4 linked regions of the Anolis sagrei genome follow. The protein of the gene in region 1 purifies or fractionates together with the protein of each later gene. This does not show direct contact. Links are inferred from orthologs where the notes say so. Each region holds a gene or a part of one and is shown in the gene's direction. Other genes may lie near its edges.

Region 1 (8,363 bases):
TCCTCCCCTATGAATCATCTCAGAGATTAATATAGTCTGGGGAGGCAGATAATAATTGTACATAATCCTATGGGCAAACCATGGTTCTAAATGGTTCTAAAGTACTTGCAAAACTAAAGTTCTGGTGGTGAAAACTAGGGAGCACTGATGCTTTGCTTCTACAGTGTTGCTAAAGTTCTGATGGTGAAATTTCAGAACTCTAACAAAATTTTCAACATTTCATTATTATTTCATTATTGCCAATTTTATGACAGAACTGCCATTTATAACAAATTTTTGAAGGTTTTTTTAGAATTCTGAAATTTTCACCACCAGAACTTTAGCAACACTGTAGAAGCAAAGCAGTAGCGCCCCCTAGTGTTCACCACCAGAACTTTAGTTTTGTAAGTACTTTAGAACCATGGATTGCCCATGCCTATGCACTACACTATTATCCGAAAGCCTGGTCCCAGAGCCAGGTTTTTACTTGCCTTCTGAAGGTGAGGGGGGAGGGGGCTGATGTGATGTCACTAGGGAGAGAGTTCCACAGCTGAGGGGCCACCACTGAGAAGGTCCTGTCTCTCATCCCCATCAGTGTGCTTGCGAAGAAAGCAGGACCAAGAGCAGGGTCTCCCCAGATTATCTTAATTTCTCAGGTGGTTCATAGGGGAGGATATATTTGGACAGGTAAGCTGGGCTAGAACCGTATAGGCCTTTGAAGGCTAAAGTGAGCACTTTGAATTGTGCTCGGAAGCAGACTGTTAACCAGTGGAGCTGGTGCAGCAGGGGAGTTGTGTGCTCAATGTCCATCGCTCCGGTGAGCAACCTGGCTGCTGCCTGTTGGACCAGTTAAAGCTTCTGAATAGTCTTCAAAGGCAGCCCCATGTAGAGTGTGTTGCAGTAATCTATATGGGATGTTACATGGACCCCTAATTTCCTTTTTGTGGAGGAGTATGCTTCAAAATGAATTGGAACAGCAGTGCTGAGCTGAGGAGTATTTAATCATTTCACCTGGTATTGTTCTAGCAAATTGAAATGTTATTCTTAAACCAATGTTTAGCCAAGTAAAGGGAAAATACAGGTGGCTTCGTTCTTCTCCAGTGGAAAAAGAGTAGGTCATTCTCTGATGCAAAAAACAAGTTAATGCTCCCGCTATCATGACAAATACCAAAGCCATCTGGACTGACAGCTGAGAAAGTATCTCCTCAAATTGGGAAACTGACTACAGCCCCCTTCCACACAACTGAATAAAATCCCACATTATCTGCTTTGAACTGGATTACATGGCAGTGTGGACTCAGATATTCCAGTCCAAAGCAGATATTGTGGATTGTCTGCCTTGATATTCTGGGTTATATGGCTGTGTAGAGGGCCCTTTGAAAAGATGACAGAAAATATGTAGCAACATATGACCAGGGACTGCCACTGTTGCTACCTGAAGTGCTCGTGTATCTCCACGTGGTAATGGGCATGGTGATAATGTGGATCTGGGCCCAGGTTTCATTTTTTAAAATCTACCATTCTGGTCACTGCATTACAAAACTATAAATCAAATAGTCCTATCTATTTTAGAACTATTATCACGCCCTCATTGATTCAATGGGCCTTACTCTGGTTGGGGCTAAGATCATGACTTCCTAGTGAGAGAAGTGATATTTGGAGAACAATTGTTATTCATAACCAAGTGCAATTATGTTCATTCGGGCTTATAATACATACATACAAAAGGACTGCAGCATAACAATGAAAACCTAAGCATATTTACAACAGAATCAAGTTCCAATATGTCAAACGCAGCTTATTCTTAGTAAACATACACTGGATTGCAGTATTAAACAGCCAAAAAAATATTCAGCTCGGTTTAGGGCAGCGTTTCTCAACCTGGGAGTCAGGATTCCTAAGGAGGGGTTGCAAAGGGTTGTCAGAGGGGTCACCAAAGACCATCAGAAAACACAGTATTTTCTGTTGGTCATGGAAGTTCTGTGTGCCAAGTTTGGGATGGGATGGGAAGCCTGATAGCTCTTGCAGCCATGCCCTACTGAACATGGTTTGAACTGAGTTGACAAAACCCCTCTAGAGCTTTCAGCTGCACTCCCACCCAAGCTTATTCAAGGGACTCTTTTGCCTCCTCCCCAGAATGAGTGAGCAGCACTCTCATCTGATCTGTAAGTTAACTGTTGAATGATCAGGCTTATATCTTTGTTTTATTCTGGTTATGGGTTGCCTAGTGCTGTATGAACAAAACACCCCCCCCCCATCCCCACATCTGTTAGAAGTTGCCCACTGTTAGCCTAATATGTGCATGCTACTTTCTCAGTTACATTCCAAGTTGTGTTGCAGAGAGATGTGAAAAGTAACACACATTTCACTGTAGGATTTAACATTCTATCATCCTTTCCTCTTACTTTTGGTCAGGATGAAATTCACAACAGGATGTCTGAAAGCTGACTTTAAAAAATTATAATGAGGGAACCCAAAACTAAAATATTGCCAACAGATAATAATAATAATAATAATAATAATAATAATATTTATTTATTTGTACCCTGCCACCATCTCCCCAAAGGGGACTCGGGGCAGCTAACATGAGGCCAAGCCCAAAATTACAGTACAGCAAAATAAAATACAAAGAAGCAAAAATACCATCAAAATAAATACATTAAAAAACAAAATAAACAGTTTCAAAATTACATGATAGAGAAACTGAACACAGTGGGCGGGCCAAATGTACTAGGATAAAATTGATAAAAATCCTGGATGAGATAGGTAGTGAAAGAATGTGTTTCTGAGGAAGGAGCTCAAAAAGAATGAACAATGGGGTTAATAAGATCTGTCACCTAATGTATAATTTAGTACAGCAACTTAAACTGTCATTAATTTAAGGCATTGAGGAGGGTGGGAAGATGCCCTGAAAACTTAGACTGAAGTAACTCTTAAGGGATATTGATGTGGAGAGCAAGGCTCCTGCCACCAAGAAACTGCATAGGGAACTTTTCTCTGTACACAGCAACAAGCAGGTGATGTTCCATAGCAACTTGCTCCATGGTTACACTGGAGTGCCATATGGATGGGGTTGGGACTGTTAGCCCTTTGAATGGAAAGATAAACTATTTTGAAAAAAAAAGAGTGTTTCTTGGAGCATCATGGTGCATTAGGGAAAATTCCATTCTGTTGGGTTCGTGTGGCACGCCCGCACACACACACACACATATTCCCTATTTGGGATGAAACCTGCAAGATACAACTACATCAAGCAAGGCAATAGACAACCAGAGATATTGGAGGTCTTTCATTCACAAAGTTGCCATAAGTCAAAGTCAACTTGATGGCCAATAACAAGAATTAAAGCAAACAGCATTGCAAACAGTTGATATTTTTATATATTTTTAACTATGAATATTCAAACAGTATTATTACGATGCTTATTTATATCCCACCTTCTCTCTCCATACGAAGACTCAAAGTGGCTCACAATTGAAAGATTACAATACAACTTAAAATATACAATATACAAATATTTTAAAGTATTAAACATTGTTAATATTGGTTTGCTCTGAGTTTTCCGGGCTGCATGGCTATGTTCCAGAAGCATTATCTCCTGGCATTTCACCCACATCTATGGTAGGCATCCTCAGAGGTTGTAAGGTCTGTTGGAAACTAGACAAGTAAGGTTTATATATCTGTGGAGTGTGTGAATGCAAGTGTAAATGCTGCCATAGGTCACCTTGATTAGCATGGTATAGTCTTGCAGTTTCAAGGCTTGGCCACTTCCTGCCCGGCACAATCCTTTGTTGAGAGGTGATTAGCTGTCCCTGATTGTTTCTTGTCTGGAACTCCCCACTTTTGAGTGCTGTTCTTTCTTTACTGAGTTTTTTATATACAGATATTATTCCTTTTCATAGTTTCCTCCTTTCAGTTCAAATTGTCAAATTGGCTCACAGTGACAACAATTTGATGCCGCAATATCACAATAACAATATAAAACCATAAATACATAACAAATTAAAAACAATAACATGAATGATACAGTCATATAGCTGTTTCCATTAGCATAACAATCATATGGTCCAGTTCAATGTCCAAAGTGCCATTGTGCCTGCTAGTCAAAAGCCTGGTTCCCAAACCACGATTTCAGTTTTTTCCTAAAGGAAAGGAGGGAGGACGCTGATCTAATCTCACTGGGGAGTGAATTCCACAGGTGGGGGGTCACCACCGAGAAGGCCCTGTCCCTCGTCCCCACCAGATGTGTTTGTGAGGCTGATGGGACCGAGAGCAGGGCCTCCCCAGTGGATCTTAAACTACGAGGTGGAATGTAGGGAGAGATACATTCGGACAAGTAAGCTGGGCCGGAGACGTATATAGCTTTAGAGGCCAGGACCAGCACTTTGAATTGTGCTGTGAAATGGACCGACAGGTTCAAATCCAGGGAGAACGCGGATGAGCTCTTTCTGTCAGCTGCAGCTCCCCATGCAGGGACATGAGAGAAGCCTCCCACAAGGATGGTAATACATCAAAACATCTGGGTGTCCCCTGGGCATCATCCTTGCTCCTGACACACACACACACACACAAACAAACTAGAAACACTCAGGTTCACTACTGCACAGTGAAGCTTGGTGACTCTTAGGCTAGATCTACACTGTCATGTAATCCAGTATTGAATTTATGTTTTCCCCTATTAACCTATCAGACCTTAAGGTCCTCCGGGGAGGCTCTCTTCACAGTCCCACCACCCTCACAAGTGCAGCTGGTGGGAATGGAGGAGAGGGCCTTTTTGGTGGTGGCCCCCTGGCTCTGGAATGCATCAAAACATCCGGGCGTCCTCTGGGCAACATCCTTGCAGACAGTCAATTCTCTCACACCAGAAGGAATTTGCAGTTTCTCGTCACTCCTGTGTGTTTTTGGTGGGATGGTTATTTGTTTATGTATTTTTCACTCCTAACACGAAAAAAAAATTGCCATGATATTGTGGGGCCCAGAATTGAACACAGGATTCCTGGGTGAGGCCTGAGGGAAGCAGAAGAAAGTGGGACTTCTTCCTTCAATGTAGACACAAAAACAAATAGCTGCTTTGAGTCTCCTTGTGGAGAGAAAAAGTGGGGGGTATAAATAAATATCATCAAGGATTTGAATCAATTAAGAATTGTGGGAGTTTCAAGTCCAAAACAATTAGACGCCCGAAGTCTCCTCGTGCCTGGTCGACTCTCCACTGGGCGCGCTCTCTTGAGTCAGAGCTCTTATTAGGCGAGATGCTCATGAAGCCACGCCCCACGGCGGATCCGATTGGACGAGCCGGCACGTGCCGCCTTGTCACCGAGCGGCGGACCGATCCGGGGTTGGGTTAAGTGAGCCGAAGGGAATTAAGAAGAAGAAGAAAAAAAAATCTCTTCCCTGCGATTGGTTCGCTCAGCCTCTCAGCGCCCTATCGCGATTGGTTGCGACGGCGCGGCGCGTGCCGAAGCACCTGCGCTTGGACCAGCGACGCATGCGCGCCGGGGGATGCGCTGCCGAGAGGACTGCGTGCGGAGGGGGGAGCGTGATTGACGGGCGGTAACGGTCGCGGCCTGTCAGTGAGGAGGGAGAGAGAGGTGAGACGAGGCGAGGCCCAGGGCGCCTCCTGCTCGGGGCGAGGAAGGGGAACGAAAAGGGAGCGGTCGTGAGGGAGAAGGAAGGAGAGGAGGAGGGCCTGGAAGCGGTCGCCATGGTTCCGTTGGCGGGCCTCTCCCCCCTCATTCATTTGAATGCCTCGCGCCTTGCCCTTCGGATGCATGCGAGGTCTCCCCAAGGACGGCTCATAGTTGTTTTGTCTCCGTCTCACGGGCGACAAACCTTTTTCCCCTCCTCAAAAGCGTAAAATAGGATTTGGGCATTGACTGTGCCTCAAGCTTAAGGCAGGCCTAGGTTTGTACTTGCTTAGTTTGTAACCGAAGGGTGCATCTATAACAGGCATGGGCCAACTTGGGCCCTCCAGGTGTTTTGGACTCCAACTCTCACAATTCCTATATATATATATTATTGAAGTTTTTCAGATATAATAATAACAGGGGGAACAATTGTTTGGTATAGAAAAGTAGGAGAATAGAAAAAGGTAAGAAGAGATTTAACTTCAATTAACTTCAATTAGTCCAGCGGGAGGCAGCCAGATTGCTCACCGGAGCGTCATACAGGGAGCATACCACCCCCCTGTTGTGTCAGCTCCACTGGCTGCCGATCCAGTTCCGAGCACAATTCAAAGTGCTGGTTTTGACCTACAAAACCCTATACGGTTCTGGCCCAGCGTATCTGTCCGAACGCATCTCCCTCTACCTCCCACCTCGGAGTTTGAGATCCTCTGGGGAGGCCCTGCTCTCGGCCCCGCCTCTGTCACAAGTGAGATTGGTGGGGACGAGGAGCAGGGCCTTCTCAGTGGTGGCCCCTCACCTATGGAATTCACTTCCCGGGGAAATTAGATCAGCGACATCCCTCCTTTCCTTTAGACCCGTCGCAAACTAGCCTCCTGCGGGAGCAAACCGTGCCAGCACGTCCCTGACGTCATGAGACTCCGCCTCTCGCCCCGCCCCTTTCTCCGCCTCTTTCTCCGTGCCAGAGTGGTTTTTCCTTTGCTAGGGCAGCATTGCCAGCGTACTCTCGTTGGCAGAATTCAACAACGAGAGTATGCTGGCAATGCTGCCCTAGCAAAGGAAAAACCACTCTGGCACGGAGAAAGAGGCGGAGAAAGGGGCGGAGAGAGAGGCACAGTCTCATGACGTCAGGGACGTGCTGGCACAGTTTGCTCCCACAGGAGGCTAGTTTGCAGCGGCTCTTAGAAAGAAATTAAAAACATGGATGTGGGACCAGGCGTTTGGGCAATCTGGCAGATAAATAAAGGACTGCGACGACGGATAGGAATAGACAATGTGGAACGAAGTATGGACTCTGAGTTGGCGAACGCCATGCATGAGATTGGCTATTGACTGTGATATATATTGTTGTTTTAATTGTTTAACCGTTTAACTGCTGTTTTTATACGTTTATTGTATTATTGTGAGGGCATCAAATTGTGCCATTTTGTAAGCCGCCCTGAGTCCCCCCTCGGGGGTTGAGAAGGGCGGGGTAGAAGTATATGAAATAAAAATAAATAAATTTAGATAGGGGACTGTTTTTTGGGGGGGGGGGTGGGAAGGATGGAAGGATAGGGAAGGGATTAGGGGGGTTAGGGTTAATATACAGTCTGACTTCCAATCCTCTTCACGTCGGGTGTATCTTCCTTTTCTTTCCTTTTTTTGATAGTCAATCACGGTAGTTTGGCAAGCTCCTTCTTATGGTTCATCCTGAGAGCATTTGATGCTTGAAATTATCTTATATGATCTATTTACCATTTCAGGTTTTCTTGCATTATATAGTTCTTTATTGGTATCCAGTCTGTTTTGGAAATTTTCAAATTCTGCTTTATGCTCATCCATTGGGTTAATTTATCCATACTCATAATATCTAAAAATATTTATTAACCATTGCTCTTGAGATGGAATCTCTTTCATTCTCCATACTCTTGCATAATTTATTCTGGTCGCCGTCACCAGGTAGTTGAAAAATTTAATCTTTATTTAGCTCTATTTCGAAGTCAATTATTCCCAGAAGAAAATATTCCGGTTTTAATTCCATTTTTATATCCAGTATCTTTTCTATTTTTTCGTGGATATTTTTCCAATGTGTTTTGGAAGTTTTACATGTCCACCACATATGATAAAAAGAGGCAGTTTGTTCTTCGCACTTCCAGCATTTATCGTTGATTTCTGGGTAGCATTTTGCCAGTTTCTGAGGTGTGATTTTTAGCCAGTTTTCTTTTAAATTAGATGCATAAGTATATTTCATTTTCTTGTTCCATGTTTTCTCCCAATCCTCTAAATTAATTGAGTGTCCAATATTTTTCCACTTAAGCGGCAGAGGGTGAAAAGGAAGGGGCCTGAGGCTATTAGGAATTCTGAGAGTTGGAGTCCAAAACACCTGGAGGGCCCAAGTTGGCTCATGGCTCTTATAGATGCACCCTTTAATCCAATTTCTAGTCTTACTACATACAGTCTGGTAAGAGAATTGAATAGGATATAATGTGCCCTTGATATTCACTGGGGTTTAATTACGGGGCTCTTGAGTATACCAAAATTTCATGTTTATATGCAATGGCGTCCCTCGTATTCAGGCGTCCTCAGACTATAGAGAGAAACCACTGAAATCTACAAGCATGTAGACAATTTCAACAGAAAAATCAAGGTTTGCTTTTTGAAATTGTTCAATAAATATTTTCAAATCATATTTGTAATGGGTTGCTGTGAGTTTTCTGGCCATGTTCTAGAAGCATTCTCTTCTGCTGCTTTGCCCACAACTATGGCAGGCACCCTCAGAGGTTG
Region 2 (7,634 bases), on another chromosome or scaffold:
TGCTATGGCTCAGACCTATGGAATCGTTGGGACTTTTACAAGGTCTTCAACCTTCTGTACCAAGGGACTGTACCAAGTCTCGGAAAGTTGAATCTATGGATACAGAATCCATAGAGGTCTGGTTGTACTTTTATTCTGATTTTTGTATTGTATACTCTTAATATGTCAATAGTTGCCTTGGGAGAGCTATGATTGGAAGAAAGGCAGGTTAAAATACTACTACTACTACTACTACTAGTAAGGATCATTTTTTTGAGGGGGGAGGTTTCAAGCCATGGATGGCTTAGTCGTAAGGCTGAACAGGGTATAGGGTTACAGCCTGTGTTGGATGGGGTCGCACTCCCCCTGAAGACGCAGGTTCGCAGTTTGGGTGTGATCCTGGACTCATCGCTGAGCCTGGAACCTCAGGTTTCGGCGGTGACCAGGGGAGCATTCGCACAGTTAAAACTCGTGCGCCAACTGCACCCGTACCTTGGGAAGTCTGACTTGGCCACGGTAGTCCACGCTCTAGTTACATCCCGTCTAGACTACTGCAACGCTCTCTACGTGGGGTTGCCTTTGAAGACGGCTCGGAAGCTCCAGCTAGTCCAACGCTCGGCAGCCATGATACTAACTGGAGCGGAGCGCAGGGAGCATACAACTCCTCTGCTGCACCAGCTCCACTGGCTGCCGATTTGCTACCGGGCTCAATTCAAAGTGCTAGCGTTGGCCTATAAAGCCCTAAACGGTTCTGGCCCAAGCTACCTATCCAAACGTATCTCTGCCTATCAGCCCGCCAGGCCCCTAAGATCTTCTGGGGAGGCCCTGCTCTCTATCCCGCCTGCTTCACAGGTGCAGCTGGCGGGGACGAGAGACAGGGCCTTTTCTGTGGTGGCCCCCCGGCTGTGGAACGCCCTTCCTATGGAGGTAAGATCAGCTCTCTCGCTAATGGTGTTCCGAAGAAGATTAAAAACTTGGATGTTTGAACGGGCATTTGGTTAAACAGTGCAATGAATGTGATGATTACAGGAATGGAAATTTGGACGACGGATTGGATCACGACTCTAGTTATGAGATGCATTGTGTTGTCTATTGTTGTGTCAATATTGTATATTATGCTTTTATGGTTTTAAATTGTATATCGTTGATTGATTCTTATCCTTGTTGTAAACCACGTTGAGTCATCTGTTGGGCTGAGAAACTGCGGTATACAAGTAAAGTAAAGTAAATAAATAAATAAATAAATAAATCTGTGGATACAGAATCCACAAATGACTGCAATTTTATTCTATTTTTATTACCTGCCTAGAGAAACCTGTAATTGGATAAAGGTGGAATAGATGAGGATGCCTGCCATAGATGTGAGTGAAACGTCAGGAGAGAATGCTTCTGGAACATGGACATTCAGCCCAGAAAACTCACAGCAACCCAGTAACAGTAGTATTGGTTGTAAAATATGCAAAATATGTAATATATTAATATTTTATATATGTACTAGCTGCCCCCTGCCACATGTAGCTGTGCCCCAGTCTGTGTATATGTTTATTGATATAGGTATTGTGGATTGTGTTTTTATGCTTTTAAACTGTATACTGTTGTTTGTTATAAGTTGTTGTAAACCGCGTTGAGTCGCCGGCTAGGCTGAGAAACGGCGGTATACAAGTATAGCAAATAAATAAATAAATGTGTTTTGTTTGTGTGTTGTTGTTGTTCATTCGTTCAGTCGTCTCCGACTCTTCGTGACCTCATGGACCAGCCCACGCCAGAGCTCACTGTCGGCCGTCACCACCCCCAGCTCCTTCAAGGTCAGTCCGGTCACTTCAAGGATGCCATCCATCCATCTTGCCCTTGGTCGGCCCCTCTTCCTTTTGCCTTCCACTTTCCCCAGCATAATTGTCTTCTCTAGACTTTCCTGTCTCCTCATGATGTGGCCAAAGTACTTCAACTTTGTCTCTAATATCCTTCCCTCCAATGAACAGCTGGGCTTTATTTCCTGGAGGATGGACTGGTTGGATTTGATTGTGTATGTGTGTATATATTTGTCTATATGTGTTTGCATATATATGACTGTGTGTTTTTTGTGTATGTGTGTTTTGTGTATGTATATAGTTGTGTATATGTGTATATATGTGTGTGTGTGTGTGGTTTTGCACATGCATTGTAATGCATTTTTGTTCTTTGGCTTTTTAAGTCTTTTCTGTTGTGTTTTTCCATGTTTTTATGAGTGGTGGTCACTCGTTGGCCTGATACGTGTATTGTGTCCAAATTTGGTGTCAATTCATCCAGTGTTTTTTGAGTTCTGTTAATCCCACAAACTAACATTACATTTTTATTTATATAGATGTTGGTTAACATGCCTTGAGAAACTTTTGATGAGGATATAAATGAAAATAACATTAGCCACCGCGACAGGGAGTGCTTCTGTGCTTTTTTGCCTCAAGTGAGGGAAGTCCCAGCGCGGGCCCGGAAGTACCTTTGGCTGCTCTGCTTGGGCGAGGCCTGGAGGTGTCTACACGCGCCTTACTTCCGCTGTTTTGGGCGCGGCAGCTGCTGTGGCGGCGAAAGGGAAGCGGGTGCCGGGCGGAAAGGAGGCGCGCTGAGGAGGGCCGTGTGGAAAAACGAGCAGGGTCTCCTCTCCTTCTTTCCACACAACCACCTTTTGCGCCAGTTCCCTCAGAGGCGGGGCCGAGAAAGGCGCGGACTCTGATTGGACGCCATAAAGTCGTGACAGCTCATTGGCCACGCCCTCGAAAGCTGCGAGGGGAGGGCCGTGTGGAAAAACGGGGGCGGGATTGAAGGAGCCAAGCCTCCCTCCCTCCCGGCGCCTTCAATCCTTCGATCTGATTGGGTGCCGTGAAGTCGTGACAGCTCATTAGCCACGCCCCCAAAGGCCGCGAGGGGAGGGCCGTGTGGAAAAGCGAGGCCGGGTCCTCGCGCCTCTCTCTTAGAGCCCCGCCTCCTTCAAATCCACACAAACCCGAAAGGAGGCGGGGCTGAGACGAGAGCGGACTCTGATTGGACAATTTTACATCGTGACAGCACCTCCCGACACCCATCTGTCAGGGGCGTTTTGAATGCGATTTTCCAGCTTCTGGACTGGATGGCCCACGAGGTCTCTTCCAACACTTCAGCTCCCCTTGGAGCCCCTGGAGGTGCAGTGGGTTAAAGCCATGTGCCGGCAGGACTGAAGACCGACAGGTCGCAGGTTCGAATCCGGGGAGAGGTGGATGAGCTCCCTCTATCAACTCCATCTCCTCATGCGGGGACGTGAGAGAAGCCTCCCACAAGGATGATAAAACATCAAATCATCCGGGCGTCCCCTGGGCAACGTCCTTGCAGACGGCCAATTCTCTCACACCAGAAGCGACTTGCAGTTTCTCCTGACACGACAAAAAAAAGAGCTCCCCCTCCCTTCCTAAAACAAAAAAAAACCCAGTTGGAGGCGTGGCTAAGAAGAGGCCGGGCTCGGATTGGACGCCGATACGTGGTGACACCTCCCCCCGCCCTCTAGGATTCTACAGCTCCACCCTCCCTTCCTAAAAATTAAAAAAGGCGGAGGCGTGGCTAAGAAGAGGCTGGGCTCGGATTGGACGTTCATACACGGTGACAGTTCCCCCCTCCCTTCCTGAAGCAAAAAATTCCAGTCGGAGGCGTGGCTTAGAAGAGGCCGGGCTCGGATTGGTCGCCCATACACGGTGACAGCTTCCCCCTCCCCTCCTAAAACAAAAAAATCCAGTCGGAGGCGTGGCTTAGAAGAGGCCCGGCTCGGATTGGTCGCCCATACACGGTGACAGCTCCCCCTCCCTCTGTAATTCTTCAGCTCCCCTTTCCCTTCCTGAAACAAAAAATCCAATCGGAGGCGTGGCTAAGGGGAAGCTGGACTCGGATTGGTCGCCCCTACGCGATGACAGCTCCCCCTCCCTCTATGAGTCTACAGTTCCCCCTTTCCTTTTAAAAAAAAAAAAACCCACTCGGAGGCGTGGCTTAGAAGAGGAAGGGCTCGGATTGGACGCCCACACGCGGTGACAGTTCCCCCCGCCCTTTCTCTCCCCGTAGCCACGCCTCCCAGCGAGCCGGGGAGCCAATGGGAACGCGGCCTGCGAGGCGTGCCGGATTGGCTGGCGGGGGTCCTTCCCCGACGCGGCCAATGGCGCCTCGGGGGCGTGGCCGGTCGCCGTGGCGGCCGCCAATGGCGCGCCTCGAAGTGGGCGGGGCGCGTTCTGGGGTTCCGTGTGGAAAAGAGTGTGCGAGGGAGAGGAGGAGGAGGGGGTTCGGGTGCAAAGTTTAGTTTCAAACCGTCTGCAAAGGAGGAGAAGAAAAAGAAGGAGAGGGAGACGCGGCGGGGGAAGAGAGCGGAGAAGGAAGAAGGGGAAGAAGGAAGCAAGCAGCAGCCATGGGCCCTGAGGGAACGGGCCTGGACCCTGCCCGGCGCCACGGAGCCCTTCCCGCTCCCCGCCGCCGGAGGAGATGCCGCCGGGCCCGGCTGCTGTGCATGCTGGCGCTGACCTTCGTCTTCTTCCTGGTGGAAGTGGCCGTGAGCCGGCTGACCTCCTCGCTGGCCATGCTCTCGGACTCCTTCCACATGCTCTCCGACGTGATGGCGCTGGTGGTGGCGCTGGTGGCGGTGCGCTTCGCCCAGCTCACCCGCGCCACCTCCAAGAACACCTTCGGCTGGGTGCGCGCCGAGGTCATGGGCGCCCTCGTCAACGCCGTCTTCCTCACCGCCCTCTGCTTCACCATCCTCCTCGAGGCCGTCGAGCGCTTCACCGAGCCCCACGAGATCCAGCAGCCCCTCGTCGTCATCGGCGTCGGCGCCGCAGGACTCCTCGTCAACCTCCTCGGCCTCTGCCTCTTCCACCAGCACGGAGGGGGCGGAGGGGACGACGGGCACGGGCACTCGCACCGAGGGAGAGGCTCCGCCGGGCGACACCACCGGGGGAAGGCCGGAGAGAGAGGAGCCGCCGCCGGGATGGGACTCTCCAGGGAGGAGACCAACACCCTCGTGGACAGCTTCAGCGGCTCCAATGGGGTCGGCATGGAGAAAATAGGTGAGGGAGGACGGAGAGCTGCCCTCAGGCCAAGCATGGGCCAACTTGGGCCCAACTCCCCCCATTCCTAACAGCCTCAGGCCCCTTCCTTTTCCCCCTCAGCCGCTTCAGGCCGCTTCTTTTTTCCCCTCAGCCAGGGGGAAAAAGAAGCGGTCTGAAGCGGCTGAGGGGGAAAAGAAAGGGGCCTGAGGCTGTTAGGAATGGGGGGAGTTGGGCCATGCTGTGCCCTGCCATCCCCAATGCCCTCTCCTGGCAACCCATTGTCTTGGTTACTGTTATCTCCTCATCTTTCCCTAGCACACAGCCAGTGTGGTCAGCAAGGAGAAGCTGGGAAGGATCTCCAGACCTCACATAAGAGAGATCAAGGGCTTCAGGTTGGGTTAGGCCAAGGATAAGGTATTTGGACAGGTGTTTTCTTTCATTAGGTGCTGGGAAGAGTGGGCTTCAGGTCTGGATGGGGCATCTTCAAGGCTCAGGCATGGGGAAACTTTGGCTCTTCCTCCAGGTATTTTGGACTTCGACTTCCACCGTTCCTGGTCAAGACAATGGTAGGAGTTGAAGTCCAAAACACTCAAAGTAGGAGAAGCACCTTTTCCTAACCTAAAATAAGAGAGATCAAGGGTTTCAGGTTGAGTCAAGCCAGGTATTTTGACAGGTGTTTTGTTTCATTAGGTGCTGGGAAGAGTGGACTTCAGCTTCAGGTCTGGATGGGGCATCTTCAAGGCTCTGCTCTGAGTTTATGCCAGGTGTGGGGAAATTTCAGCCCTCTCTCCGGGTGTTTTGGTCTTCAACTCCCACCATTCCTGGACAAGACAATGGTGGGAGTTGGAAGTCCAAAACACCCAGAGGGCCAAAGTAGGAGAAGCACCTTTTCCTAACTTAAAATGAGAGAGATCAAGGGTTTCAGGTTGGGTTAGGCGAGCGATAAGGTATTTTGAAAGGTGTTTTGTTTCTTTAGGTGCTGGGATGAATGGACTTCAGCTTCAGGTCTGGATGGGGCATCTTCAAGGCTCAGGCCTGAGGTTGCGCCAAGCTTGGGGAAACTTCTCCCCTCCAGTAGGCTGTTAGAAATTGTGGGGAAACTTCAGCCCTCCCTCCGGGTGTATTGGACTTCAACTCACACCATTCCTGGACAAGACAATGGTGGGAGTTGAAGTCCAACACACCAGGGGAAGCACCTTTTCAAATTTAAAATAAGAGAGATCAAGGGTTTCAGATTGGGTTAAGGCAGGGATAAGGTATTTTGATGGGTGTTTTGTTTCATTAGGTGCTGGGAAGAGTGAGTTTTAGCTCTGGATGGGGCATCTTCAAGGCTCAGGCATGGGGAAACTTCAGCCCTCCCTCCGGGTGTTTTGGACTTCAACTCCCACCATTCCTGGTCAAGACAGTGGTGGGAGTTGAAGTCCAACACACTTGGAGAGCTGAAGTAGGAGAAGCACCTTTTCCTAACCTAAAATAAGATAGATATCAGGGTTTCAAGTTGGGTTAAGCCAAGGATAAGGTATTTTGACAGGTGTTTTATTTCATTAGGTGCTGGGAAGAGTGGACTTGAGCTTTGGATGGGGCATCTGCAAGGCTCAGGCATGGGGAAACTTCGGCCCTCCCTCCGGGTGTATTGGACTTCAACTTCCACCATTCCTGGCCAAGACAATGGTGGGAGTTGAAGTCCAAAACACCTGGAGGGCCAAAGTAGGAGAAGCACCTTTTCCAAACCTAAAATAAGAGAGAGTTTGGGGTTTCAAGTTCCGTTAAGCCAGGGATAAGATATTTTGAGAGGTGTTTTGTTTCATTAGGTGCTGGGAAGAGTGGACTTCAGCTTCAGGTCTGGATGGGGCATCTTCAAGGCTCAGACATGGGGAAATGTAGGCCCTCCCTCCAGGTGTTTTGGACTTCAACTCTGACCTAAGCTTACATCAGGCGTAGGGAAACTTCGGCCTTCCCTCCGTGTGTATTGGACTTCAACTTCTACCATTCCTGGTCAAGACAATGGTGGGAGTTGAAGTCCAAAACACCTGGAGGGCCAAAGTAGGAGAAGCACCTTTTCCAAACCTAAAATAAGAGAGAAATTGGGGTTTCAAGTTCCGTTAAGCCAGGGATAAGATATTTTGAGAGGTGTTTTGTTTCATTAGGTGCTGGGAAGAGTGGACTTCAGCTTCAGGTCTGGATGGGGCATCTTCAAGGCTCAGGCATGGGGAAATGTAAGCCCTCCCTCCAGGTGTTTTGGACTTCAACTCTGACCTAAGCTTACATCAGGCGTAGGGAAACTTCGGCCTTCCCTCCGTGTGTATTGGACTTCAACTTCTACCATTCCTGGTCAAGACAATGGTGGGAGTTGAAGTCCAAAACACCTGGAGGGCCAAAGTAGGAGAAGCACCTTTTCCAAACCTAAAATAAGAGATTGGGGTTTTAGGTTCCGTTAAGCCAGGGATAAGATATTTTGAGAGGTGTTTTGTTTCATTAGGTGCTGGGAAGAGTGGACTTCAGCTTCAGGTCTGGATGGGGCATCTTCAAGGTTCAGGCCTGAGGTTGCACCAGGCTTGGGGAAACTTCAGCTCTCTAGTAGGCTGTTAGGAATTGTGGGGAAACTTCAGCCTTCCCTCCGGATGT
Region 3 (7,409 bases), on another chromosome or scaffold:
CAGGGTATAAATAACGTATTATTATTATTATTATTATTATTATTATTATTATTATTATTATTGCCCATGGGATGTAGGAGGCACACCTAGTTTCTTTCATTTCTGGCCCTAGTTTCTTTCATTTCTACTCATTTCTGAGTAGGCTAGAAGACTGCATGTCACCTGTATTTGTTTGTATTTTAACCAAATTTGGTTCAAAATATGGGGATGTTGGGACAGATCACTTAGAGTAGGGAGGAATGTGGCATAACTGATGTCCTCTGTGACTTCACAACCTCGGAGGATGCCTGGAATAGATGCAGATGAAACGTCAGGAGAGAATGCTTCTAGAACATGGCCATACAGCCCGAAAAACCTACAACAACCTTGTGTATATTTTGACAATTGAAACAGTTTTTATATCTGTACTAGCTATACCTGCTATGTGTTGCTGTGGCCAACCTTCCCTCGCTCTTTCTCTCCTCCTTTCTTTCTCTTCTTCCTTCCTTTCTTCCCTTATTTTCTTTCATTTTCTCCTCCCTTCCTTCTCTTCCTCTTCCCTTCCTTCCCTTTTCTTTCCCTTCCTCTTTCTCCCTTTTCTTCCTTCTCTACCTATTATTGGACTCCAACTCCCAGGAGTCCTCCCTTTTTTAATACGGGTAGCCAGATTTTGTTCCTTTTCATGGTTTCTTCCTTTCTGTTGAAATTACCCACATGCTTGTGGATTTCTATGTCAGGCTACGCAGAGAAGCCATTGAAACCCACAAGATTGTGGACAATTTCAACAGAAAGGAAGAAACCATGAAAAGGAACAAAATCTGGCTACCAGTATTAAAAAACTCAAAAATCACAACAGCAAAACAACAGAGAGGAAACCATCAGGCATCTCAAATCAAGGTGGTCAGTTGAAACATTCACACCTAGCTCCAGCAGACAAGAGTCCTTTGTCCCACCCTGGTCATTCCACAGATATATATATATATATATATATATATATATATATATATATATATATATCTGTGGAATGACCAGGGTGGGACAAAGGACTCTTGGTGGTCAGTTGAAACAGTCACACCTAGCTCCAGCAGACAAGAGTTCTTTGTCCCACCCTGGTCATTCCACAGATATATATATCAAATCACCTCTCAAAGAAAGATTCCCCCAGGCACTTCCAAGCCATTAAATGCTAATCAAGGTGGTCAGTTGAAACATTCACACCTAGCTCCAGCAGACAAGAGTCCTTTGTCCCACCCTGGTCATTCCACAGATATATATATATCAAATCACCTCTCAAAGAAAGATTCCCCCAGGCACTTCCAAGCCATTAAATGCTAATCAAGGTGGTCAGTTGAAACATTCACACCTAGCTCCAGCAGACAAGAGTCCTTTGTCCCACCCTGGTCATTCCACAGATATATATATCAAATCACCTCTCAAAGAAAGATTCCCCCAGGCACTTCCAATCCATTAAATGCTAATCAAGGTGGTCAGTTGAAACATTCACACCTAGCTCCAGCAGACAAGAGTCCTTTGTCCCACCCTGGTCATTCCACAGATATATATATCAAATCACCTCTCAAAGAAAGATTCCCCCAGGCACTTCCAATCCATTAAATGCTAATCAAGGTGGTCAGTTGAAACATTCACACCTAGCTCCAGCAGACAAGAGTCCTTTGTCCCACCCTGGTCATTCCACAGATATATATATCAAATCACCTCTCAAAGAAAGATTCCCCCAGGCACTTCCAATCCATTAAATGCTAATCAAGGTGGTCAGTTGAAACATTCACACCTAGCTCCAGCAGACAAGAGTCCTTTGTCCCACCCTGGTCATTCCACAGATATATATATCAAATCACCTCTCAAAGAAAGATTCCCCCAGGCACTTCCAAGCCATTAAATGCTAATCAAGGTGGTCAGTTGAAACATTCACACCTAGCTCCAGCAGACAAGAGTCCTTTGTCCCACCCTGGTCATTCCACAGATATATATATCAAATCACCTCTCAAAGAAAGATTCCCCCAGGCACTTCCAATCCATTAAATGCTAATCAAGGTGGTCAGTTGAAACATTCACACCTAGCTCCAGCAGACAAGAGTCCTTTGTCCCACCCTGGTCTTTCCACAGATATATAAACCCATTTTCCTACTTCCAACAGAACTCACTACCTCTGAGGATGCTTGCCACAGATGCAGGCGGAACGTCAGGAGAAAATGCCTCTAGAACATGTAGCAAAACCTACAACAACCCAAACATTTTTATTTACTTTTATAGGTTGTAGGCTTGGGCAATCCATGGTTCTAAATGGTTCTAAAGTACTTACAAAACTAAAGTTCTGGTGGTGAAAAATTTCAGAACTCTAACAAAACTTTCAAAATTTAATTATTATTTCATTATTGGTGATTTTAATGACAGAACCAATTAGGAACTGCCATTTATTATGAAATTTTGAGAGTTTTGTTAGAGTTCTGAAATTTTCACCACCAGAACTTTAGTTTTGTAAGTACTTTAGAACCATGGATTGCCCAAGCCTATAGGTTAGATAAAGGCCATCTATTTTTTGTAGGTGCTTTGAATAACTGTTTGTGTTTTCTCATTAACAGGGGACTCCTGCTCTACCCCACAACCTTTGTCTTGTGGGGTTCCTCAGGGTTCAATCCTGTCCCCCATGTTGTTTAACATCTACATGAAGCCGCTGGGCGAGATCATCCGGAGTTTCGGGGTGCGGTGTCATCTGTACGCAGATGATGTCCAACTCTGTCACTCCTTTCCACCTGCTACTAAGGAGGCTGTCGAAGTCCTGAACCGGTGCTTGGCCGCTGTGACGGTCTGGATGGGGGCGAACAAATTGAAATTGAATCCAGACAAGACAGAGGTGCTCCTGGTCAGTCGCAAGGCCGAACAGGGTATAGGGTTACAGCCTGTGTTAGACGGGGTCGCACTCCCCCTGAAGACACAGGTTCGCAGTTTGGGTGTGATCCTGGACTCATCGCTGAGCCTGGAGCCCCAGGTTTCGGCGGTGACCAGGGGAGCATTCGCACAGTTAAGACTCGTGCGCCAACTGCGACCGTACCTTGGGAAGTCTGACTTGGCCACGGTAGTCCACGCTCTGGTTACATCCCGTCTTGATTACTGCAACGCTCTCTACGTGGGGTTGCCTTTGAAGACGGCCCGGAAGCTCCAATTAGTCCAACGGGCGGCAGCCATGGTATTAACAGGGGCTGGGCGCAGGGAGCATACAACTCCTCTGCTGTACCAGCTCCACTGGCTGCCGATCAGCTACCGAGCCCAATTCAAAGTGCTGGTTTTGACCTTTAAAGCCCTAAACGGTTCTGGCCCTACATACCTATCCGAACGTATCTCGGCCTATCAGCCCACCAGGACCCTAAGATCTTCAGGAGAAGCCCTTCTCTCTATCCCACCTGCTTCACAGGTGCGGCTTGTGGGAACGAGAGATAGGGCCTTTTCTGTGGTGGCCCCCCGGCTTTGGAATGCCCTCCCTACTGAACTAAGATCAGCCACCTCGCTAATGGCATTTCGGAAAAAACTAAAAACTTGGATGTTTGTGCAAGTCTTCAATTGATTTTTGATGTGATGTTGTTTGACCATGGACTAGCAATCAAGGATAACGAATTGGACTACGATTTTAACGATGAGATCCGATCTGTATTGGTGGCCCAATACTATGTATGTTTTGTATGTATTCTTAATTTTAATCTATATGCTTAAAGTGAATTGTATATTTTAACATGTTGTAAACCGCAATGAGTCGCCGCATAGGCTGAGATATTGGCGGTATACAAGCGTACCAAATAAAATAAATAAATAAATAAATAAGTCTGTTTATGGCAACACCACTCTTCATTTACAGCATTTCCTTGGCCAGGATTAATACAGTATCCTCAATTGCCCCCTCAGAGAGTAAGAACTACAATTCCCAGCATCCCTAGCGCGTCCGTGGACCCTCTTTTGGCCGCCCCCCTCCCCTTTGTTTTCAAAGGGAAAATGAAGGGAGAAGCATCCAAGCAACAGTAGCGGCTCCTTGCTTGTGCGCATGCGCAAGAGGGAGAAGATGAGGACAAGCGAAAGCCAGGGGAAAGAAGAAAAAAAAAGAGAGAGTTCTGAGCCGCAGCAAGCAACCCGAGAGCAGCGGCTGGCCCGCGCGTGCGCACACGGAGGCGCGAGGGAAGCAAGCAAGCAAGCAAGCAAAGCGTGCGCGCGCGAGGCGCTCCTATTTAGAACGCCTGGGCAGAGGGAAAGCCAAGCTGCGCGCGCGGCTCAGGTAAACCCTTAACGGCTCCAGCCTTAACGGACTTTTCTCTCCCAGGGGCTTGCCTTCAGGGGTGGGCGGGGGCAAAGAAGGGAGCGAACGGAGAGCCCCGCGCATGCGCACTGCGCCCCCTTCCCCCCTTTCTGCATGATACACCTGTACTGTTCCCCTCTCTCTACCTTTGCTTTTCCCTGTCCTCTCCATGGTTCATCTCTTTATGGTTTTGTTTTGGCTTCTGGGGACCATTTCCACCCCCCAGTTCATTTTAAAACTAATAATTCTAACTTTACCTAGTATTTTTTTATTTTGTGTTGTATCCTATGTATTTTAATCTATGCATTATAACTCCTGAGAATGTGCAGAGTGCATGCCTCCTCAGTGATAATTGGGTTTTATATGTATTTTTTGACAGTGTTGTACCCCGCCTCGAGTCATGAAGGGGATAGCAAATTATTATTATTTTCAATAATCTATATAAGTACAAATGTAATGTTTGCTTATGAGATTAACATACCGTATATACTCGAGTATAAGCTGACCCGAATATAAGACGAGGCTTATATTCGGGAAAATGTATTGACTCGAATATAAGCCGAGGGTTGGAAATGCAGCAGCTACCAGTCAATTTCAAAATAAAACTAGATATCAATAAAAATACATTAATTTTAGTTACGAGACGTTAATGTGTTGTTATTGAGATGTCATTAGTTTGTATTTTATACTGTTAATGGTTTTAATATTGTATGTTGTTGGATGGCTTTTGCTCTTGTTGTGAACCGCGTTGAGTCGCCTACGGGCTGAGAAACTGCGGTATACAAGCAAAGTAAGTAAATAAATAAATAAATAATTAGACCGCACCTGGAATATTGTGTCCAATTCTGGGCACCGCAATTCAAGAGAGATATTGACAAGCTGGAATGTGTCCAGAGGAGAGCGACTAAAATGATCAAGGGTCTGGAGAACAAGCCCTATGAGGAGTGGCTTAAGGAGCTGGGCATGTTTATCCTGAAGAAGAGAAGGCTGAGATATGATAGCTATGTATAAATATGTGAGAGGAAGCCACAGGGAGGAGGGAGCAAGCTTGTTTTCTGCTTCCTTGGAGACTAGGACGCGAAACAATGGCTTCAAACTACAGGAGAGGAGATTCCATCTAAACACGAGGAAGAAATTCCTGACTGTAAGAGAACCCTAATAAGAATCTATACTGCAACAGAAACAACATAAGGAAAGGATAAGCTTGTACCTGAAGTAATCTATTAAAGAAAGAAACACATTTTGAAGGAGAATAAGTTTAAAACCTGTTTAGTGAAAGGAAGAGTTCTCTTAAGAGTTGTTTTATGAAATGTATTAATTGTAACCTGTGAAGAAATGTGCTTCTAAGAGCTAAGAAACATTGAAACTATCAAGCTTCTTCTATACTTCAATAAACTTGTTATAGTTTCTTCTAAAGTCAAGTCTCTGTTACAAATACGTCCAAGTTAAGCCACGCTACACATTGAAGAAAGACCAATTTAGTATTACAAGCCATTAGTTGTGTTATCAATTTAGTAAGTCCTTACAAAGTGGTGGCTCCTTTACAAACCGTTACAAACTGGTGGCCTCTTCATGGTTTAATACCCAGCATTTTTAATGTTGTGAAAGAAACTGTATTTGAGAAATATCAGTTTCTGTCATTGTCTTAACTACAATTTTGGAATATTTTAGAGATTTTTTTTTGAATACTCCTGTGTTTTCATACCCTTGGTTATTTTGTTTGTCTCTTTTCTTTGGATGCTCAAATTTTATGCTACTGTAATGCTAGATTCTAGTTCGAAGGAAAATTTGACACTTTGAATCCCATTTGGGAGGAAATTGTAGGTTATATGTGAAATGAGGAAGACAGAAAGGAGACTGAAGGAAAATTTGGTAACTTTGTGCCCCATTTGGGTGGAAAGTAGGATATAAGTCAAATGAATTTAAAAAAAAACCCTTTCATAGATACACCAATTTTGGTGCTCATTCTCACTCTTACATCATCATCTTGCTTGCCAGTGTCTTGTACATGTGCCTCCTTTTATGTGCTTGCTGTTTAAATTTGCTAAAGCAAATCCTTCTTTTTCTTTTAGCTTCCTGATTTCTGTGCATTTTGCTATTTTAAAAAAGACATCCTTACTGACTGACATTTTGGGTGCTTTAAAAGCAATAGTGTAACCCGTTTGGTCATATTTTTGGTGAATTCTTTCATCTTGAACCTATCCAAGTGCCCCATGAGATAACAAATGGGCTCCAAAGTATGGGAACCTTGTTGAACCCTGTGTAGAAATGACTCATGTCTACAGTTTCGTGTTTGTTTGAGACTATATATATATATATATATATATACACACACACGCACACACAGAGTGTATATATATATATAGAGAGAGAGAGAGAGAGCACACATTAGTATTGTCTAGTGGTTTGAGAATTGGACTATGATTCCGGTAAAGGTAAAGGTTTTCCCCTGACATTAAGTCCAGTCATGTCCAACTCTGGGGTGTGGTGCTCATCTCCATTTCTAAGCCGAAGAGCAAGGCGTTGTCTGTAGACACCTCCAAGGTCATGTGGCCGGCATGACTGCATGTATCTAAGGGTATATCTGCACAAGACATGGGCAAACTTTCAAACTTGGGCTTCCACATTCTAGCACTCCCTGCTAGGAGGACTGGCTGCCTGGTGATGGAAGGAAAGAGGAAGGAAAGAGAGAAGGATGGAAGGAGAAAGAGAGAGGGAAGGGAAGTAAGGAGGAAAGAAAGAGAGAAGGATGGAAGAAAGACAAAAGGGAGGGAAGGACGAAAGGGTGGAAAAGAAGGAAGGATGAAAGGGAGGAAGGGAAGGATGGAAGGAGAAAGAGGGAGAGAGGGAAGGAGGGAGGAAAGAGGGAAGGAAGGATGAAACAGTGAAAGGGAAGGAAGGAAAGCAGGAAGAGAGAAAGGAAAAAGAGAAGGAAGGGGTGAAGAGGAGAATGGAAGGAAGGAAGGGAAGGATAAAGGAAAGATAGAAGGAAAGAATGACAAAAAGGAAGGAAGGAAGGAAGGAGAGGAAGGGAGGAAAGAGGGAAGGAAGAAGAACAAAATGGTGGGAGGGAAGGATGGAAGGAAAAAGAGGGAGGGAGGGGAGGGAGGTAAGGAGGAAGGAAAGA
Region 4 (8,378 bases), on another chromosome or scaffold:
CCTGTGCCAGCAGGACTGAAGACCAACAGGTCACAGGTTCGAATCCGGGGAGAGGCGGATGAGCTCCCTCTATCAGCTCCAGCTCCTCATGCGGGGACATGAGAGAAGCCTCCAACAAGGGTGATAAAACATCAAAATCATCCGGGCGTCCCCTGGGCAACGTCCCTGCAGACGGCCAATTCTCTCACAACAGGATGCTCCTGACACGACAAAAAATATTATTATTATTATTATTATTATTATTACTAATATTATTAATATTGTAATATTACTAATAATATTATTAATATTATTAATAATATTGTAATATTACTAATAATATTGCATTCTAATGGTATTGTACAATATAATATATAATCCTAATATTGTACTATGCTAATAATATAATATATAATAGAAACATATAATATTAATAATATTATAATATAATAGAATATAATAATACAATATACTAATAATAATAGTAATAATAATAATAATAAACTTTATTTATACTCCGCAACCATCTCCCGAGGGACTTGGTGCGGCTTACATGAGGCTGAGACCACACTGCATCAATGATAAAAGCAATAACAACAATTAATACAGACAATAAAACAAAAACTCATAACAAAAAAAAAACAATAAACAATAGCAGTAACACAACGATGTTAAAAACCTATGGCAGAGCCAAATGTAATAATTAAAATTTAAGAATAATATTATTAATTAATTATTAATATTAATGTATAAATATAAAATGTTAGAAAATGTTAGAATTAAGCTAGGAAAAATATGGCACCAAAATGGAGTTGGTCGGTTAACTCGCGGATATGGTGGCCCGAGTGGTTTCCGTATCCGCGGTTTAAAGAAACGCAGATTCAGCCTCCCTGCGATGCCTGGAAGGCATCCCAGGCGGGCCCGCCGCTGCCCACGGCCCAAAAAAGGATAAGTTCATGCATTTGATACTTGTGAGTCAGGAAATAGACACAGTGTATCACTTTGGAGAGGTGAACGTTACAATTCAATTAGTCTTTATTAGGGGTTTTGTTACAATGTTTGGGCTGGGGAGAAAAGCAAAAGGAGAAAGCTCAAGGTTGCAGAGAATCCTTGGTTGAGGCTGCTGCTGGGGCACATTTCATCAGAGCTGGCATCCAGGAACTGCGGAACTCCCTGCAGCTGGTCAGATCAGCTGGAAAGCAGGGGTTTGGGGCGGATTCGACATCAAAGCTACCCACAATTATAAACATGGAATGTAGACAGTGTTTCCAAGGCAGGGGATGATTGATCATCATGTTAATTGAAAACAAGTATAAGAATTGAAACTCATAATAAAAATGGGGAAATACTGAAAAATGGGTGTTGGATCGATTTTACTAAAGCGCTGCAATGGAGATAAATTGCAAAATGTAGCCTTGATCAAGTCGGGTGCCTTTTACCAATGGAAAGAAGACAGAACTGACAACAACAACAATAATACATCACACAGTCCTAGACACTTGGGAAGTGTTCGACTTGTGATTTAGTGATACGAAATCCAGCATATATATCTAATTTGCTGTGCCATACTATGTTTTTCTGTCAGTAATAATAATAATAATAATAATTCTACACTGTAGAAAGAATGTCGTTTGACACCTCTTTAACTGCCTTTATGGAAACCTGGGATCTGTAGTTTGGTGAAGGACCAAAGTGAAAGATCTTGTAAAACTGCAGCTCTCCAGCTTTCTTAGCATTGATGGCTAAAGTGGTGTCAAACTGCATAAATTCCACAGTTCAGATGCACCCAGATAATTGCTTTGAAGGCATTTGTCCTCTTGGCAAAAAACAAACTAACTAAACAAAAAAAAAAACCCCAAAAACCCATGCATTTCTTCCTTTCTTCTGAAGGAGGAAAATATTACTCTGTGGTGGAAAAACAAGCCCTGCATTGTGCCATAATCTATGCCTTGTCACACTCCTCTCATTCTAAACAAAGCTACCTACCATTTCTTGCAGTGGGTTTCGAACTGCTTTCTGTGCAGAGGGTTCAATGGCAAACCAAAGGAATGTTACTGAAACTTAGATTAACATCTATAAATCAAATTAAGAGCAAACCTTACTTTCAAAGCAACAGTGGCAGAATGTTGTTGAAGGCTTTCACGGCTGCAATGACTGGGTTGCTGTGAGTTTTCCGGGCTGTATGGCCATGTTCCAGAATCATTAGAATCATAGAGTGCGAAGAGACCTCATGGGCCATCCAGTTCAACCCCATTCGGCCAAGAAGCAGGAAAATCGTATTCAAAACACACCCTACAGATGGCCATCCAGCCTCTGTTTAAAAGTCTCAAAAGTAGGAGCCTCTACCACACTCTGGGGCAGAGAGTTCCACTGCTGAACAGCTCTCACAGTTAGGAAGTTCTTCCTAATGTTCAGATGGAATCTCTTTTATTGCAGTTTGAAGCCATTGTTCCGCATCCTAGTCTCCACGGAAGCAGAAAACAAGCTTGCTCCCCCATCCCTATGACTTCCTCTCACATACTTATACATAGCTATCAGGTCTCCTGACATTTCACCCACATCTATGGCAGGCATCCTCAGAGGATATGAGGTCAGTTGGAAACTAGGCAAGTGAGGTTTATATACCTGGGGAATGTCCATGTTGGGAGAAAGAACTCTTGTCTGTTTGAGGCCAGTGCAAATGTTGCAATTTGCCAACTCGGTTAGCATTGTATAGCCTTGCAGCTTCAAAGCCTAGTGGCTTCCTGCCTGGGGGAACCAGGACAGTAAATAAAGAGCAACATTAAAAAAGCAGGGAATTCCAGACAGGAAACAATCAGGGCCAGCTAACACCTTCTAACAAAGGGTTCCCCCAAGCAGCAATCAGTCAGGCTTTGATGCTGCAAGGCCATTCAATCAAGGTGGCAATTCAATGCTAATCAAGGTATGCAACATTCACACCTGCCTCCAACAGACAAGAGTTCTTTCTCCCACCCTGGATATTCATACACACACACACACACACATCCCACTTGCCTAATTTCCAACAGATCTCTCAATCTCTGAGGATGCCTGCCATAGATGTGGGAGAAATGTATGTCAGGAGAGAATGCTTCTGGAACATGGCCAGATAGCCCGGAAAACTCTCAACGACCCAGTAGCAGAGAGAGCAAGTGACTTCCAAATAGTCCAATAGTCCTGACAGCTTTTACCAGAAGCAGAAAATCCCTTAAAGAGCCCCATTTCGGGAAATAAACTCAATTGATATTCGATGTATTTTGGGTCTGGAGACTGCAAAGGCCTTTGCAATGAATAGGGTTTAATTCAAAGGTTTCAAGCTGCAGTCTTAAGGGTCAAAATAGGCTCATGCAAATCCTTAGCTGCTGGGTAAATTGCACTGTTTAGTCTGTTTCAGGAAAACTCTACAAAATCCAGCCTCATAAAACCAAGATCGTAACATGAACTTTGGAATATGTCTCCAGGCCAACAGCACTGCTTCTTCTCTCTGTGTGTGTTTTAGTAAACATCTACCCTTCAAAGCCTTAATAACAATAACAATAAACAACCCGGAATCCAAAATGCATCTGTTCCCAAACATTCTGGACAAGTGCTATTCGGTGTACCTATGTAAAAGGTTTCAAAACATGTAAACACCCAACACAATCCCAAACACTTTGGGTGCCAAGCATTTCGAAAATGGGGTGCTTGTTCCGTATATGCAAGTATTGTAAAACATTTAAACATCCAGAGGAATCCCAAACACTTCTGGTGCCAAGCATTTTGATCAAGCTGTTCTTGTTTTGGAATGTAAGTCCCCAAACTGGTGCTTTTCCTGCATGAAGTCAGAATGGGGCTAGACTGGGTGGCCTTTGAGGGTCCCTCCCATCTCTAGGATCCTATAGCCCTATTATTTCTCTCCATCTAATTAAATGTCTATGAGGCTGGATGGCCATCTGTCAGGGGTGCGTCGATTGTGTTTTTCCTTCATGAAGGCAGAAGGGATGGTACTTGGGGTACTCTTTCAACTCTAGCATCCTATAGCCCTATTATTTCTCTCCATCTCGGATTCTCTAGCCCTGTTACTTCTCTCCATCTAATCTAATGTCTATGATGCTGGGTGGTCATTTGTCGGGGTGCTATGACGGAGTTTTCCCTGCATGGATGCGGGGGGGGGGGGGGGGTTTGAACTGGATGGCCTTTGTGGTCCATTTTAAGTCTAGGATCCCATAGGACTATTATTTCTCTCCGTCTAGGATTCTCTAGACCTGTCATCATTCCCCATCTAATCTTATATTTGTGATGCTGGCTGGCCACCTGTCGGGGATGCTTTGATGGTGCTTTCCCTACATGGAGGCAGAAGGGGGTTGGGCTGGATGGCCTTTGGGAGTCCCCTTTAACCCTAGGATCCTGTGGCCTTATTATTTCTCTCCATCTAATCTAATGCCTGTGAGGCTGGATGGCCATCTGTTGGGTGGGCTTGGATGGTGCTTGGCAGAAGGGGGTTGGGCTGGGTGGCCTTTGGGGGTCCCCTTTAACTCTAGCATCCTGTGGCCTTATTATTTCTCTCCATCTCATCTAATGCCTGCGAGGCTGGATGGCCACCTGTCAGGGGTGCTTTGATGGTGCTTTCCCTGCATGGAGGCAGAAGGGGGTTGGACTGGATGGCCTTTGGGGTCCCCTTTAACTCTAGGATCCTGTGGCCTTATTACTTCTCTCCATCTAATCTAATGCCTGTGAGGCTGGATGGCCACCTGTCAGGGGTGCTTTGATGGTGCTTTCCCTGCATAGAGGCAGAAGGGGGTTGGGCTGGATGGCCTTTGGGGGTCCCCTTTAACTCTAGCATCCTGTGGCCTTATTATTTCTCTCCATCTCATCTAATGCCTGTGAGGCTGGATGGCCATCTGTTGGGAGGGCTTGGATGGTGCTTGGCAGAAGGGGGTTGGGCTGGATGGCCTTTGGGGGTCCCCTTTAACTCTAGCATCCTGTGGCCTTATTATTTCTCTCCATCTCATCTAACGCCTGTGAGGCTGGATGGCCATCTGTTGGGTGGGCTTGGATGGTGCTTGGCAGAAGGGGGTTGGGCTGGATGGCCTTTGGGGGTCCCTTCCAACCCTGGGAGAGCTTGCTTCCCTTCTCCCCAGCCTCGAGGAGGAGGAGGAAGTGGAGGAAGAGGAGGAGCCAGGAGGAGGAGGAGGCGCAGCAGCCATCGCTGTATCCAGAGCCCGAGCCCTAGCCATGGCCTTGCTTTGGGGCCAGGGTCCTGCCGCCCCCCGGAGGGCTCCCCCTTTGGCGACGGGGCTGCCCCTGCTGGAGCTGCTGCTGCTCTTGGGGGTCTGCGGGGGGTCCGGCTCGGGCCCGCCGGTGGCCCTGGAGGAGGAGATCGTGTCGGAGAAGGCGGCCGAGGCCAGCCACCGGCAGGACAGCGCCAACCTGCTCATCTTCATCCTCCTCCTCACCCTCACCATCCTCACCATCTGGCTCTTCAAGCACCGACGCGCACGCTTCCTCCACGAGACGGGCCTCGCCATGATCTACGGTGGGTCCAAAGGGGCGTGGGGGTATCTGTATCTCTGTGGGGAAGGCTCCAGTCGGGGAGGGACCCCTCCAGACCCAGAAGGACCCTCCCACCACCTTGCAGAGGCCTTCTCCAAAACCTCAACAAGGGGTTGGGAGTCTAATACTAATACTAATAATACTTGGTCCAGATCTGTCATCAGCTCGATTCAGTGTTCTCTGGATAAGGGTGAACTACAACTCCTATCACCTTGCAGAGGCCTTCTCCAAAAGCTCTGGGCACCAACAAGGGGTTGGGAGTCTTATACTACTACTACTACTACTACTACTAATACTTGGTGCAGATCTATTATCAGCTGGGTTCAGTGTTCTCTGGATACTGGTAAGCTAGTCTCCCATCACCTTGCAGAGGCCTTCTCCAAAAGCTCTGGGCACCAACAACAGGTTGGGAGTCTAATACTAATACTAATACCACTAATAATAAGATCTGTCATCAGCTGGGTTGAGTGTTCTCTGGATAAGGGTGAACTACCCTCCCATCACCTTGCAGAGGCCTTCTCCAAAAGCTCTGGGCACCCACAAGGGGTTGGGAGTCTTATACTAATACTAATACTAAGAATACTTGGTCCAGATCTCTTATCAGCTGGATTCAGTGTTCTCTGGATAAGGGTGAACTACCCTCCCATCGCCTTCTCCAAAAGCTCTGGGCATCAACAAGGGGTTGGGAGTCTTATACTAATACGAATACTACTTGGTCCAGATCTGTTATCAGCTGGGTTCAGTGTTCTCTGGACAAGGGTGAACTACAACTCCCATCACCTTGCAGAGGCCTTCTCCAAAAGCTTTGGGCACCAACAAGGGTTTGGGAGTCTAATACTAATACTAATACTACTAATAATAATACTTGGTCCAGATCTGTTATCAGCTTGGTTGAGTGTTCTCTGGACAAGGGTGAACTACAACTCCCAGATTACTACAACTTCCTTCCTGTTGAATCAGTCCCCCCAACCCCCCCCCCCCAGTCTGAGTCCTCCCTAGGGGTTGGGAGTCTTATACTACTACTACTACTACTAATAATAATAATAATACTTGGTCCAGATTTGTTATCAGCTGGGTTCAGTGTTCTCTGGATAAGGGTGAACTACCCTCCCATCACCTTGCAGAGGCCTTCTCCAAAAGCTCTGGGCACCAACAACAGGTTGGGAGTCTAATACTAATACTACTAATAATAAGATCTGTCATCAGCTGGGTTGAGTGTTCTCTGGATAAGGGTGAACTACTAATACTACTTGGTCCAGATCTGTTATCAGCTCGGTTGAGTGTTCTCTGCATAAGGGTGAACTATCCTCCCATCACCTTGCAGAGGCCTTCTCCAAAAGCTCTGGGCACCAACAAAGGGTTGGGAGTCTTATACTACTACTACTATTACTACTACTACTACTAATAATAATACTTTGTCCAGATCTGTTATCAGCTGGGTTCAGTGTTCTCTGGATAAGGGTGAGCTTTGGTTACATCCCGTTTAGATTACTGCTACGCTCTCTACGTGGGGTTGCCTTTGAAGACTGCCTGGAAGCTCCAATTAGTCCAATGTGTGGCAGCCAGTTTGCTAACAAGAGTGGGGTACAGGGAGCATACTACTCCTCTGTTGCGCCAGCTCCACTGGCTGCCAGTTAGCTTCCGAGCACTATTCAAAGTGCTGGTGTTAACCTATAAAGCCCTAAACGAATCTGGCCCAGTTTACCTGTCCGAACGTATTCTCCCCTATGAACCATCAAAATTGCTAAGACGTCTGGAGGGGCCCACCGGCCTCACAATCGCGTCTGGTGGGGACGAGGGACAGGGCCTTCTCGGTGGTGGCCCCTCAACTCTGGAACTCCCTTTCACTGGAGATCGGAATGGCCCCCTCTATCTTGAAGTTCAGAAAACCCCATGATAAGGTTAATGTGATGGGTAATATCTTTGATGATTTTGTAAACAAAGCTTGTTTACATTGAAGCATAAGGTTGCTATAGGATTCCAAACCGTTGTGTGCCATTTATTAATCACCTTTGGGGACATCTTTGCTCAGCAGTGTCTTGATGGTTTACTCCTTTCATCTTCAGGGAGCAATGCTACAAAACGGAGAAGAGGAAGGAAGGAAGGAATAGAATAGAACAGAATAAGGATGCCTTTACCAGCCATTATCTGGTACCCACAGCATATTTGGTATAGTGGTGTTCAGAAATAGATAATAATAATAATAATAATAATAATAATAATAATTATTATTATTATTATTATTTATAGCCCGCTACCATCTCCCCAAGGGACTCGGTGCGGCTTACATGAGGCCGAGCCCACAACACATCAATAATAAAACAATAGCAAACAAACAGTACAAAACAGTTAAAATACATCTCATAAACAAAAGTAAAATAAAATATAAGCAGTACAGCAACACAACAAGCATTTAAAACCTATGGCTGGGCCAAATGTAAAATTCAAATTTAAAAAATAATGCTGGGCATGAGCAAGGTAGGATATAGCTGCGCCCGTACCTTGGGAAGTCTGACTTGGCCACAGTAGTCCACGCTCTGGTTACATCCCGTTTAGACTACTGCAACGCTCTCTACGTGGGGTTGCCTTTGAAGACGGCTCGGAAGCTCCAACTAGTCCAGCGCTCGGCAGCCATGATTTTAACAGGAGTGGAGCGCAGGGAGCATACAACCCCCCTGTTGCGCCAACTCCACTGGCTACCGATCTGCTACTGGGCTGAATTCAAAGTGCTGGTGTTGGCCTTTAAAGCCCTAAACGGTTCCAGCCCAAGCTACCAATCCGACCGCATCTCTGCCTATGAACCCACCAGGACTTTGAGATCGTCCGGGGAGACCCTGCTCTCGATCCCGCCTGCTTCTCAAGCACGG

What was found.
Region 2: the proteins of CLGN (region 1) and SLC30A1 purify together in Homo sapiens (co-immunoprecipitation; 3 studies listed by BioGRID and IntAct, with this or other methods). This does not show direct contact. The link is inferred for Anolis sagrei from reciprocal best matches to the Homo sapiens genes CLGN and SLC30A1.
Region 3: the proteins of CLGN (region 1) and SLC12A6 purify together in Homo sapiens (affinity purification with mass spectrometry; 3 studies listed by BioGRID and IntAct, with this or other methods). This does not show direct contact. The link is inferred for Anolis sagrei from reciprocal best matches to the Homo sapiens genes CLGN and SLC12A6.
Region 4: the proteins of CLGN (region 1) and SLC9A6 purify together in Homo sapiens (co-immunoprecipitation; 3 studies listed by BioGRID and IntAct, with this or other methods). This does not show direct contact. The link is inferred for Anolis sagrei from reciprocal best matches to the Homo sapiens genes CLGN and SLC9A6.

Annotation. Positions count from the first base shown.
Region 1 is NC_090025.1:45,314,090-45,322,452, reverse strand, and holds the start of CLGN (calmegin), read left to right. Parts: upstream 1-5,343; 5' UTR 5,344-5,567; intron 5,568-8,363. UniProt on the Homo sapiens protein: Functions during spermatogenesis as a chaperone for a range of client proteins that are important for sperm adhesion onto the egg zona pellucida and for subsequent penetration of the zona pellucida.
Region 2 is NC_090021.1:32,139,981-32,147,614, reverse strand, and holds the start of SLC30A1 (proton-coupled zinc antiporter SLC30A1), read left to right. Parts: upstream 1-4,215; 5' UTR 4,216-4,372; coding exon 4,373-5,027; intron 5,028-7,634. UniProt on the Homo sapiens protein: Zinc ion:proton antiporter that could function at the plasma membrane mediating zinc efflux from cells against its electrochemical gradient protecting them from intracellular zinc accumulation and toxicity.
Region 3 is NC_090026.1:13,086,878-13,094,286, reverse strand, and holds the start of SLC12A6 (solute carrier family 12 member 6), read left to right. Parts: upstream 1-3,985; 5' UTR 3,986-4,261; intron 4,262-7,409.
Region 4 is NC_090030.1:24,590,614-24,598,991, forward strand, and holds the start of SLC9A6 (sodium/hydrogen exchanger 6), read left to right. Parts: upstream 1-5,131; 5' UTR 5,132-5,193; coding exon 5,194-5,494; intron 5,495-8,378. UniProt on the Homo sapiens protein: Endosomal Na(+), K(+)/H(+) antiporter. Mediates the electroneutral exchange of endosomal luminal H(+) for a cytosolic Na(+) or K(+).